3 linked regions of the Coturnix japonica genome follow. The protein of the gene in region 1 binds, or shares a complex with, the protein of each later gene. Links are inferred from orthologs where the notes say so. Each region holds a gene or a part of one and is shown in the gene's direction. Other genes may lie near its edges.

What was found. The genes of interacting proteins can lie anywhere in the genome.
Region 2: SMARCD3 (region 1) and PHF10 share a complex: the UniProt entries of both Homo sapiens proteins name them as parts of the neural progenitors-specific chromatin remodeling complex. The link is inferred for Coturnix japonica from reciprocal best matches to the Homo sapiens genes SMARCD3 and PHF10.
Region 3: SMARCD3 (region 1) and DPF3 share a complex: the UniProt entries of both Homo sapiens proteins name them as parts of the BAF complex. The link is inferred for Coturnix japonica from reciprocal best matches to the Homo sapiens genes SMARCD3 and DPF3.

What each region holds. Positions count from the first base shown.
Region 1 is NC_029517.1:105,896-110,153, reverse strand, and holds the start of SMARCD3 (SWI/SNF-related matrix-associated actin-dependent regulator of chromatin subfamily D member 3), read left to right. Parts: upstream 1-1,458; 5' UTR 1,459-1,587; coding exon 1,588-1,665; intron 1,666-4,258. UniProt on the Homo sapiens protein: Involved in transcriptional activation and repression of select genes by chromatin remodeling (alteration of DNA-nucleosome topology).
Region 2 is NC_029518.1:36,956,319-36,960,366, forward strand, and holds the start of PHF10 (PHD finger protein 10), read left to right. Parts: upstream 1-1,248; 5' UTR 1,249-1,313; coding exon 1,314-1,382; intron 1,383-3,282; coding exon 3,283-3,389; intron 3,390-3,563; coding exon 3,564-3,694; intron 3,695-4,048. UniProt on the Homo sapiens protein: Involved in transcription activity regulation by chromatin remodeling. Belongs to the neural progenitors-specific chromatin remodeling complex (npBAF complex) and is required for the proliferation of neural progenitors.
Region 3 is NC_029520.1:23,752,086-23,756,222, forward strand, and holds the start of DPF3 (zinc finger protein DPF3), read left to right. Parts: upstream 1-1,337; 5' UTR 1,338-1,502; coding exon 1,503-1,534; intron 1,535-4,137. UniProt on the Homo sapiens protein: Belongs to the neuron-specific chromatin remodeling complex (nBAF complex).

The sequences.
Region 1 (4,258 bases):
AGGGAGCGGAAGGGGGAGGGCGCTGAGAGCAGCCCCCACACGCCCAAACGCTGTCATTGCTGCGCTATCCTACACGGCGCTGCCTGGGCCGGGGTCACCTTGAACATCAGCAGAGGCTGCTCCTCAGTCCCCGCGCACACGATGCCGTGTGTTCGCCATGGGCTGCTCCTCGCTGCTGCCCGATTCAGTGTCTTTTTGGTGCTTGTTTTTAACCACTGGGTGAGAGCAGCGATTTTATTCAATTCAGGTTCCCTTCTGATTCCCTTCTACTTGCAGCCTTGCCAAAAAATTCAGAGTCTATAGACATCAATCTCAAGGAGAGGAACAGAACAAACCCCTCTGGCAACACCTCTATCAATGTATCAGGCGGACGGGAGGCAGCCGCCCCCTCCAGCCGCACACACCGCGGTGAGCAGAGCCCCACGGCCACGCCGCTGTGCCGTCATGGAGGCGGCCCCGCCGCTGTGCACCGCAGAGCCGTTATTGCCGCTGTGCACCGCAGAGCCGTTATTACTGCTCTCCATCACGGAGGGGCCGCCGAGAAGCGCTGCAGAGGCCCCTTCCCCCCCGATGGGCCGCGGGGTCTCGTGGTGCCGCGCGGGGCTGTGCACGAGGAGCCGCGAGCTGCGGCAGCACAACGGCGAGCTGCGGGGATCGCGGCGTCTGCAGCCGTCAGTCACACGGGGCGTAGCGGGGCCGGAGAGCCCCGGACAGATCGCCCCGGGCGGGGCCGCCGCCATACTGCCATGCTGCCATACTGCCATACATCCATACTGCCATACTGCCATACTGCCATACATCCATACTGCCATACATCCATACTGCCATACTGCCATACTGCCATACTGCCGTGCTGCCATACATCCATACTGCCATACTGCCATACTGCCGTGCTGCCGTGCTGCTATGCCGCTATGCCGCCCCCGCTGCTCGCACGCCCCCCATCCCTTCTCCCCCGCTCCGTCCCTGCCCGCTCCCGTCTCTCCGCCTCCCGCCGCCTCTTCTCGCCGCAGGGGCCGTTCTCATCCTGGCGCTGGAATCGCCGCCAGCGAATGTTTGCCCGCTGCCGGCGGTCCCCGGGGACGGGGCCTGGAGCGCGGCGCGGGCGGAGCGCTGCGAACGGGGGGAGCCATTGTTTCTCCCCGCTCTCCCGCCGCATATTGTAATGGGAAAACTCCCCGGGAGCCGAGGCCGCCCCCTCCCCCTTGCCCCAGAATTTACCATCCCCTGCGCCGAGGAGGAGCGGCTGCGGCTCCGCCGCGAAAGGCCGGGACGTGTTTTCAATCTGCCTGGCTCTTATCTCGGGTGTTTGGACAGAGAGGTTTAAAAAGCGGGATTTTCTGTCCCCGCAGAGTAAACACGCAGAGCCCGGCAGCGCAAACTATTTCTGGCTTATCAGTGGAGGAATGCAGCAGCTGAGGCCGAGCGCGAGTGGGCCGTCAGGAAGGCCCTGAAGGGGCCCCCTCCCCACTCCGCGCTATTAGAAGTGTGAGAGCCCAGCAGGACTCAGAGGGGAGAGTTGGAGAAAAAGGCAGAAAAGGGAAAGAAAGAGGAAGAGAGAGAGTGAGAGAGGCTGAGCAGACCCCGATGGCTACAGACGAAGTTACAGGAGGGGCTCGCAAAGCTACGAAAAGCAAACTTTTTGAGTTTCTGGTCCATGGGGTGGTGAGTCGGGAAAGTTAGCGAGCTGCTGGCTCCGGATCGAGGGATGAGTGCAGAGCGGAGGCTGCGCCGGGCTGGAGCGGCCCCTGCTGCGCGCCCGTGGGGCGCCGCTCCCCGCCTCGCCCGGGAGCCGCGGGGCCGCCGGTGCACACGATGTGACCGATTCGTTGCTATACGGCTTTGTCTGGGGGGTTGCGTGCTGTGATTGCTGCTTTGATTCTCCGTGCTTGGTGAATAGCGTGCTCCCGAGCCTCGTCACGGTGCGGGATCTGCACCGCGTCTGACCCAAACGGGCTCGTAGGACACTTTGTTCTGTAAGCAAACTTGTGTTTTGAAAAGCAATTCTGATGCTGGTCCGACGCGGCCGTGTGGCGCTGCCTCTGGTTCTCGTCTCCAGCCTTGGCTCTGATGTATCCGCTGGCTACTTAACAGGTGACTTTCAGGGGCTTGGAGAGATTAGCGCTGCGGATCTCTGCCAGGCGATGGGCGCTCACCCACGAGGGAACGTCAGGTTGCCGCGCTTAATTAAAGGAATCACTCAGGTCTTTAAAAAATCGCCAGCTTTTGTTTAAGGAATCAGGTTTTTGATCTCCATTTAAGGGGATACGCTAACCTTGTTTTGCTGCCAGGAGAAACGATGTTCTTTAAATGACTGATGGTTGAAAGCGACCACCATTTATAGCATTCGGATGTCTCGTGCTGATACACTTTTAAGGAAATAAGACCCAGGAAACGCAGATATAGCTCAGATGGAGACAGTCCCTGCGTGTTTTCTCTCCTGAGCGTTCTGGCACCTTCTGTGACACCTTTTTGAAGACATCCGCTGCGTGTTCCTGTACAAAGGAATCTCGGGAGCTCGCTGCAGGCCTCTGGGTTGTCCCCATAATTCAGGCTTGCTCCAAATGTATTGGATCTTTCTTGTGTACTGCAGAGCCTGGCTATGATGAGCTTGCAGGGTGAAGGACTTTTAGATGGCATTCTGCTCCCTGAGAGCAGTGAGCAGGCAGAGCGGTGCCGATGTACATCAGCAGTCTGTGGCTGGATGGGCAGATATGACAGAAGCAGGTGTGCGGATCTGTGGCAGTAGCTGTGCTGTGAACACGTGTGTTGGTTAAGATGGTCTGGCTCAGGGTGGCTGTAGCTGGGTGGCCGCAGGCATCCCGGGAGGGCTGTGCACGAGGGTAGCTGTTTCTTTTTCCAAGGCTTCTGTTGGCACAACACTGCTCTTCCTTTGGTATTTCCAAGAGTTGCTAAGACAGTTGGATGACCCTGCTTCTTTCCCATGTAGATGTGAAAGGAGCCTGCTGGCCTCTTAAGCATGAGAAATGTTAATTCATACCAGAATTAATGCAGCAGAACTTGTTTCCATTAGTTATTTGGGTGCTAGAAAAGTCTGACTTGTCTGCACTGCCTGTTTCTCCATGAGAGGCGTCTCACTTGGTATCCACATTGCCTGAGTACCTGCATCTGGTTGTTACCTTTCCACTGCCTGTCAGGGGAAACAGAGCTTCTTGTCCATCACTCTTTGCCTGAGCTCCTCTTGTAGGACCCTCTGCGCCCCTCCATGATTATTTCCTTTGGTTCTGCTTTTGCTTCCGTGTTTGTTCTTCACTTCTAGTTTCTTCCTGACCTCAGGCTCATTTTGGTCAAAACAGGTTGAGGCAGCCAGTCTTCCATTGCTTACAAAAGACCCAAAGTTGCAACTTCATTTACCTGTTTACATATCCTATCGAATAAAAGAACGAGCCGTTACCCCGAGTGCAGATATTGCAGCCTCATCACCGCACGCGGCCTGTCTGCATCTGAATCAATTCCTTGAAGATTCAAGTTGAAGAGTAAAGTTTTCCAGCATGCCTTGGAATCAGGTTATGCCTCCACTCCAGGGAAAATCTCCTCTTCAGATTACTGGGTTTTTTTGTTCTCTCTTTGGCAAAATGATCTCTCTTGATTACTGCAGGTATTGTTATCGTTATTGTTTCATTTTCAGAAATGGGAGTGTATAAGCAGGGATAGAATGCCATGAGAAAAAAATGTACTGTTTGAAGAATTAAATAGAAAGGAGAATTTTGCACTATTTACTGAGAGCTGTTAGATTTTGGGTTTATTTGATCTTTCTGAAAACATGTGTTTCTCTGCTAAGGTCACTTCGCCCTTTGCTCTTGTGTGTTTCATCTTGCCTTTGTTCTTTCCCATGCTGCCAGCTCAGAAGAGATCTTCTTCCCTTTGTGTGGTTCAGATAGGATCCCTCTGTGCTGTCAGATCTCAGTGGTGAGAAGCCTCAGGTGTGATACTTCGCCCTGCTGGAGTAGTTTGTTACACCTCTGCTGAGCAGTTCTTTTCAAAAGACCGCCTTTCTTTCAGTTATTCCTTAGATTTCTCTAACTCCTGGTCTGTTGATCAGGGCCTCACACGCTGTATCTGTGGGAAGAGGGATTTTTTGCACAGGCTTCATCATCCTTCACTGTCACTTTCGCCCCTCTGCTCTATTTCCAGAACTGTTATGGATAAATTCAGCTTTAATGACCACCTTTATGCCTATATGTTTTTTCCTGATGTGTTTTCTACTGTCCAGCAGTACACTTCAGGCTGCCCTTGT
Region 2 (4,048 bases), on another chromosome or scaffold:
ATCTTTTACATGCTTAATTGGTGTGAATTTCCACATATGCTCCTGGAAGGGGCTGAGTTTGGTCGTTGACTATTAGTCTTGTTCTAAGTACTGCAGTGCTCAGGCGGGTGAGTAAGCGCTGAATTCAGCAAGCAGCTTCTCAGGGCAAGGACAAGAAGAACGTGCCCTGGAGCATGGCTATTGATAACGGGCTGTAGAAGACAACAACGGCGAGGGCTAATAAGAGTTAAGGTAGATCCGCGAGGCACAGATCCTGCGGAATGTGGGAAAGGAGCTCTGACACCATTTCTATTGTTACGAGCTCCATGTAAACGTTTCCTAAGGCTGGCGGTGTTATCCCTGAACGTGCCCGGGGCTGTGCAGACGGGCTGTACGGAGCGGTGCCCAGGCTGAAGGCGCGGGCAGGAGCGCTCTAGGGCTTCGGTGCCGGCCGCGCGGCAGCTCCCCGCCATCCACGGCGGCCCGAGGCGGGGGACTGCGGTCCCCGCGTGGGAGTGGCTTCGCGCTTTGTTCTCCGGTGCGGTGCGGGCGGGGCCGCGTGCGGGCCGAGGCGCGGAGCGGACGGGGGCTCTCCTGCCAGGTACGGCCGGGGGAGCGGCGACGGGCGCGGCCGGAGGGGGTGCGGGTTGACGGCGGCGCGTTCGCTCCTTCCGCGCAGCGGCGGGGCCGGCTTCAAGCGCCCTCCTCGGGGGGGAGAGCGCTCGCACCGGCTTCCTGCGAGTGCTCCCCCCCGCCCCCCGTACACCCCTCCTGCGCTGGTGGATGGTTCACAAACGTAGCTCGTCCCCGGCTGACGCGCCGGAGACGGAGCAGCCCAGCCCTGCAGGGGCCAGCTCCCGCACCGGACGGCGGCGGCGGCGCTCGGCGCCCACCACGCCGTGGGGATGCTGCCCCTGCGCGCCGCGCTGCTACCCAAGCGCTGCCGAGGCGGATCGGCCCCGCGCTCGCGGTTGGGCCGCGCGGCCGCTCGAGCGGCGGCGGCTGCGGCGGCCGGAGGAGGAGGAGGAGGAGGAGGAGGGCGCGGCTGCGGCGGCGGTAGCGGCGGCGGAGCGGCGTTGCCGGGCCCGCGCGGCGTTGCGGGCGGGGCGGGCCGCGTGCCGGTCCGGCGGCGCGGGCCGGGGTCGCCGCGGGCAGCCCGGAGGGGGGCGGAGCAGGAGCTGCGCGAGGCGCCGCGCTCGTGCCCGGGCTGGCCGGTAGGGGCCGTTGCCACCCCCCGCAGGGGGAGGGGGGGCGGAGCCGGGCGCGGCGCGAGGCCGGGGCGCGCGGCGGCGGCGCTTCTCCTCGCCCAGCCGGCGGCGGCCCCCGCGGCGCTCATGGCGGCCGTGCTGTCCCCGCGCCTCTGCGAGAGCGACCCGGCCACGCCCGGAAACCAGTCCCTGAAGGTGAGCGCGGCGGGCGGCCCGAGGCTGCGGCCGGGCGGCGGGAGGCCTCGGCCGGCGCCCCCCCCCCCCGCGGGGCTCCGCTCTGAGCCCGGGCTCTCCTCGCGGTGGGGCGCCCGGGGGTGTTGGCGGCCTCCCGCGGCTGCGGCGAAGTTGTGGCGCGGGGTCGGGGCCAAGCGCCCGTGCGGCCGCCGTGGCTCCTCTGAGCGCCGCCCGTGCCGGACCGCCGCACCACGCCAAGTTTGGGGCTGGCTGCGAGCGGCCCCGCGGGCACGGCTCGTTGGGCACTTTTGGAGGAGGTTTGGGTAGTTCCGGCTGCCAGTTACAAAATAAAGCGTCGTGGCGGAGCTCTGGAAGCTGATTGGCGTACGGAGACTTCGCTCTGTAACTTTAAAGAGCCAACCAACAGGCAGCAGTGCGGCTGTGCTGGGCGTGCTTCTGCCAGGCGGGGAAGGAAGAGGAAGGCAAGGCCTGTTTCGGCTGAGCTTTTCTGACTGAACTGTCGTGTTCTCACTTGTTTGCCGAGTCCTTTGCACCGTCCTGCCTTGTTTCCTTGCGTGTTTTGTGTTCGTCTGCGGAGCAGTTTCTTCTTCACTAGGAGAGTGGTCAGGCCCTGGAACAGGCTGCCCAGGGAGGTTGTGGATGCCCCGTCCTTGGAGGTGTTCAAGACCAGGTTGGACGGGGCCCTGGGCAACCTGATCTAGTAAAGGTGTATGTTTGGTGGCCCTGCCAGGCAGGGGGGTTGGAACTACATGATCCTTGAGGTCCCTTCCAACCCGGGTCATTCTGTGATTCTGTGAGCGAAACTAAAAGCGGAGGAGGCAGAGGCAGCTGTCCCTCCTGCGGTGTGGGTGCTTATGTACTATAAACACGGTGTTCAGAAAGGGAAAACTTCGATGCAGTAAGAGAAAACCGGTGCAATACTTTGAAGTTTCTTGTCAGCTTTGCTATAGGAAACATAGCTTTAGTAGTTATGTCCATCAGCTCTAAACTCTACAGTGCATCAGGGTGCTGTGTGGGAGAAAGGAATGAGCTGTGGACTTATATTAGTTGTAGCAAAGAGCAGTCTCAGTCCAGCTTCCAACTGAGGAAGTAAGAGAGTTGCAAAGCATACCTGACAAAATAAAAGAAAAGCGGTTTCTTTTCCCATACTTATAAATACAATCCAAGTGGAAATTTGAGATCCAGGTCAAACAGCCTGGACCAAAATTCCCCAGTAATGGGACCATATGGAAACTAAATGACTTTCTGTGCCCGGCAAAAGCTGACCAACTAAATCAAATCAGCTCAGGGCTGATACTAACTTACAAAAAATATATATATCTACAATTACCTGCTTTGCTTGAAAGCTGTTAATGCAGCCATCCAAAAGGGTACTTTAATTCAGTGACAATCAGTATGAACATTTTGAACATTGCATTTTATTATTCTTTTGAACTGGCATTTATTTTAATGATATTTTCATACTAGTCCATGGTTTCTTTTATTTGAGGTAGTTTTGTTCTTGGATCTACTGCTGCTCACTATGTGCAGCTTGCTCGACTGCTTTGTTTTCTGTTTCTCACTTGTAGTCATGTAACTCTGATCACTAGATGCTTTGAGATCTGTTGCTAACAAGCAAAGAATAGGTATGAGTCATATAGTGTTATTAGTCAGTAGCTTTAGGGTTATTTTCTTAATCCCTTCATTGACAAAAAGCTTTTGCTACTCCATCTTTTCATAAGTTGTCTATCAGTTCTTACGTTTGCTGTGTAAACTATCCTGTCAGTTTTGTGTAGAGACTATTGTTGAACAGCTCAGTCCTTCAGGTATGTCTAAACTTCATATTAGAATGTTTTTGATGTTTTAAATTACCCGCTGAATGCTTTAAATTGATAAATATCTGTTTTCATCTTTGTTTCAGGATGACACTGAAGAAAATTCCAATGATGGCAGCCAGCCGTCGAAAAGACGGCGGATGGGCTCAGGGGACAGTTCTCGGAGCTGTGAGACTTCTAGTCAGGACCTCGGGTAATACAGCCTTTTATTGCTAGTCTTACTGTTTCATTTGATATGCTGAAGCATTAGCTCTTCTCCGTTCTTTCATGTTCTTTGTTTAACTGTTTGAATTGAGTGGTGCAAGTAGCTATTGGTCTTTTTCTCCCAGCATTCTTTGATTTCTTCTGATGTTGTTCTTACGCTCAGATACAGCTATTTTCCTGCTGAAAACCTGATAGAGTACAAGTGGCCGCCAGATGAAACAGGGGAGTACTATATGCTTCAGGAGCAAGTTAGTGAATATTTGGGTGTGACTTCCTTTAAAAGAAAATATCCAGGTATATATATATGTATTTAAAAGTCTTTCTTCTAAAAATCTGCCTTTTTAGGTTTTAAATGTAATCTCTGTGTCTTTTTGACCACAGAATGGTCCATTTAATTAAAATATCATAGCAAAAGTGAATCTCTATTCTGTATGTTCAACTTTGTGATTTTGTTACTGGCTTTTTGAAAATATATCCTACAGATTTCAAGTAGGAATTCTATGTAATTTAAGACTTTTCAGTCTTGCCACTGAAAAATCTATACAAAAGAATGAATTGAGTGTTAGATCAGTAAGTAGCTTTTGAAGACTGACCCCAGCTTAATTCCAAAGTATTTAGTTGGTGATTTCTTACTGTAAAGCTGGCCTT
Region 3 (4,137 bases), on another chromosome or scaffold:
ATCTTTGTGGCAGTGGGACGTGATTCAGGTCACTGGTCGAGGGTCACCAGTTGAGCTGCATTCAGACCCATTCATTTTTGTGCAGCATGCGCAGCATCGTGTGCTTGTGAGAGCTCGGCAGTTTGTGGTTAGCTTTTCCTGTGAACAGTGTGAGTACCGAACAGGGCTTTCTGCAGTTACAGTCAATGTCACCTGGACCACTACTATACCATATAATATAATGCAATATGATAATGGAAACGTTCTTGAAGATTGCTTCCCAGAACCGTGGTTAGGATACATCTCGGCAGTCTGGCAACTCTCCAGCTGACAGGAAGCTTATTTCTCCTGTAACCAAGTGTCTCAGATAGGGGAAGATGGTTCCCTCCGGGAGCACACAGTGGGCAGGTTGGCCTTGGAGCTGCAGCAGGTGCTGCTTTGGGAAAGGGGACTCTGGCAAAGCTGCTGAATCCTGCATGACTGGGAAAGTGATGCACTGCTCTTTCCCCTTATCTGCATGTAATAATTTCTGTACCTCTCTGTTGTTCATCTCTCAGCCTTTTCTCTGCTGCCCACACATTAGAAAGTTTTATTTTGACAAACAGTTGGGAGAGATTTAGTTTTTCTGCCCTTGCAAAGCTCATCCCATGAGCTCAACGATTGCTGTTTTCTCTGTGTTACACCTGAACATCTCTCAAACATTTACTTCCATTCTTTCATTAAGTTGTGGATCGGGCTACCCTCTGTAGGCTTATCTTGCTCCTGCGATGGGAATGATTTAACTGCGTGTAGCTGAGTTTCCTCCAGTTTTATGAATGCGAGGATTGGAGAGGCAGGCTGCTGCTTGTTTCTGGATGGACAGAGGTGCCCGAAGGGAGGGGAGTCCTTCGGGAGGGACGGGGCGGGAGCTGCTGGCTCGGACCGTGCCCGTTCCATTCCGGCGCTGTACTCCGAGTGGCGCGGAGTTCCAGCCCGCCGCTTCCTTCGGGCGCTCTGCCGCTCTTCCCAATTCCTTGCGAGCACTCCGTGTAGCGGCAGGTGGCCGCGGGCTCCCGGGACTCGCCCCCGCCGCCGTCCCGTCCCGGGAGCGGCCGGGGCGGGGCGTGTCGGTCATCGCGGCCGGTCGTTACGGTTATGTAAGGGCTCGGGGCCGCGGCCACCCGACGCGGGAGGGAAATTCCTGGGGGGGGGAAGCGGCTCCCGGGGGCCGGGCGGATGGCGGTGCCGGCCCGGCGGGAGGGCGGCGGGCGGGGCGGTGTCCCCGGGGGCGGCCCCTGCCAGGATCCGCCCGGCCGCGTGCCCCGCGCGGGCGCTGCCCCTTTAAGGGCCGCTCGCCGCCCGCTCCACAGGCAGGAGCGACCTCTGGGCTTTGACAGCTCCCCTAATAACTAGCAGCGCTACGGCCCCGCCCGCGGAGCACGATTGGGCGGCGGGCCGGCACGACCCGCGCCGATTGGCCGGGCGCTTCCCCTGAGCGAACCTTTAGAACTCCGAGACACAATATTCTGTTACATTGTAGCAAAATGGCGACTGTCATTCACAACCCCCTGAAAGCGTAAGTAGGGCTCAGACCCGCACACGCTCCGCGTGGTTCCGCTACGAGAACGGCCGCCCTCCCGCCTCGCCCGGCCCCGGCTCCCCGCCTCCTCGCGCGGCCCCGGCTCGGCGGCTCCGGGCGGGCGGCGCGTCCTGCGGCCCCGGTCGGGGCGCACCCGCACCTGGCGGCGTCCCGCGGGGTCCGGCGGCGGCCGGGGCGGGGCGGGCGGCGGGGAGCGACGAGCCGCGGGGTGCGGGGTGCGGCGCGGGGCAGCGGCGCCGTTTGCGCGGAAGGCTCCGAGCGGCGGGGAGTTGGTGCCGCTCGCGGCTCGGGAGCGGGCGCCGGGGGCGGGAGGGCGACTCGGCTGCCGCCGCCACCCGGGTCCCCGTCCTAAGAGGGACGCGGGATCGCTCGCCGTCCCCCCTGCTCTCCTCTGGCGTTTCCCTCGGGTTCCGGCGCGCGGCTAATCCCGGGGCATTAGGGAGAGCGCGACCCGGCGCCGCGTAACCTCCCGCGGGAGAGTTGTGCCTCCCGGGGCAGCGCTCCCGCGGACGGAGCGCAGCGCAGCGCGGACACCTGGCGGCGGCGCTTCCCCGCACTTCTCAGCAGCGCGGAACGGAGTCCGGAGCCGAAGTGAGGGCTGCGGGATGTGGCTCCGCTTTCTTTTCTTCTGTTTCTTTTTTTGTTGGTTTTTGACTCGCGTCCCTCCGGCTGGAGTTGGCAAACCGCTCGGAGGTGGTTCCGGGGACTCCTGCCGCCGTCTCTCCGCAGTCTGCGGGGAGGATGAGCCTCGGGCTGCGGAAAGGTGCTGACACGTTTGCCGGCTCTCCCGCTCCGTCCTGGCAGAAAACCTTCGCTTTCATTTCGCGTGCGCTCCGCAGCGCCCACACGGCCGCGGGCAGCGGCAGTGCAGGTGCCCCGCGCTCCTTTAAGGGGATCCCGGGGCTCAGCACCCGCCGCCGCCGCTCTCTGGACCCGCGCCGCCCGCAGCAACTTGTCGCGCTGATGCCCCGGGCGCTCCGTCCCGCTCGCAGTTCTCGCCCGGCTTCCGGAGCCGCTCTCAGCGGGCAGCGCTCCCCGGGAGCCCCGGGGGGTGGGGGAGAACGGGCCGCCCCGGCCCCGCCAGGCTGAGCCGGGAGGGCAGCGGAGCTCGGCTCCTCTCGCGCGGCGTGGGAGAGCGCGAACAATGGGCAGCTCGTCTCTCTGCCTGCACAAGTGCTGCGCTGCTGAGCGGGGGAAGCGGGACCGGCACGGACTGCCCGGCACCACCTGCGTTTTTATATCGAGAAGTTGTTTAATAAAACATTTTATAATTTCCACTCATTCTTTAAAGTTGCTGGTTGGGGAAACAATACGCACGTAAATAAATTATGCACGGGATAAATTAGGACAAAAGCGGTAGGACGCATAATAGGGGAAAGGACGTAGAGCACAACGTTTTATCCTCATGTGTCCTCCCTGACAATGAAAGGGAGCCGAATGACATTTGCATTTATCTGCGTTTTGATTGTATCTGAAAACCCACAAACGCCCCCTACAGAAACTGCCCGCACAAAGGTTTCGCTCCGAGCCGGGGACAATGTCGGGACCGAGACATCCCGGCTCAGGTGTCCGCAGCTCCGGCTGTGCCGCCCGTCTACGGTGCCCAGAGCTCAGTTTCTCTCCGGCACTTGGACACATGTGTGGCCTCGTTCGTGCTGCGCTGCTCTCGAAATAACGTGCTCCCGTGTACCTGAGCGTCCCTGGGAACGCGCTGCACGGAATAGCGCGGTGCGTGCAGTCCCCCGGCTGTGATGGGCGCTCCCACGTTCAGCTCGCCTCTCTCTCTGCCTCTTTTCTCACTTGCTGGTTCTCTTCGGGGGCTTTCATCCCTCTGCTCTTATCCCCCTCGCTGCCTCTGTCTGTCTGGTCAGCCCGACTCAATCGCCTGCTATTTTTGCCATCCAGCACCTTGCTCACCTACACGGTGCTCCGAGGCAAAAACGGCAGAGATGTGAGCGTAACAGATCTGCGAAGAAAGGGCAGCAGGTGTCTGGATAAACACAGAGTTCTTTGCCTGCAGAAAAGGCAGCACTCAGTGTGCTGATGGGCAGCAGTGGGCTAGAAATGCTGCATTCATTGTTGGGTACCTATCTCTATTTCTTCTTTCCATCTTTTCCTTTGGATATCTTAATGCGGAGATGTTCGAGTGGGGCAGCAGAAGGAACAAATGCAATGAAGTGGTATTCTGAATGACTTAAAGTGTCAGTCAGAAATCTCAGTGGGCTTTGTAAACATTAATTAATTAAACCTCTCATCACCCCTGTGAAGAAGGGATTATTGCCTTTGTTTTGTGGATGACTAAACTAGGACAAAGTGGTTAAGAAACTTTCTGAATTGAAGATCAAGTCTAAAGCACAGCAGTGCAGCTTCCAGCCTTAGCAGCCAGCCACATTTCCTCCACTCCTGCCTGACTAGAAATGTGCATACGGTACCATAATGTATTTAATGTAATTAAGATCTTGTAATTTACAGAGCTCGATCTAGAAGTGGAGCTGATTTCCTCCACCCTTTCTCAGTCTGTACTCCCACAGCTGACTTTTCTTTCAGATTGTCAGTTAAATGCACTCCCTGGAGCACTC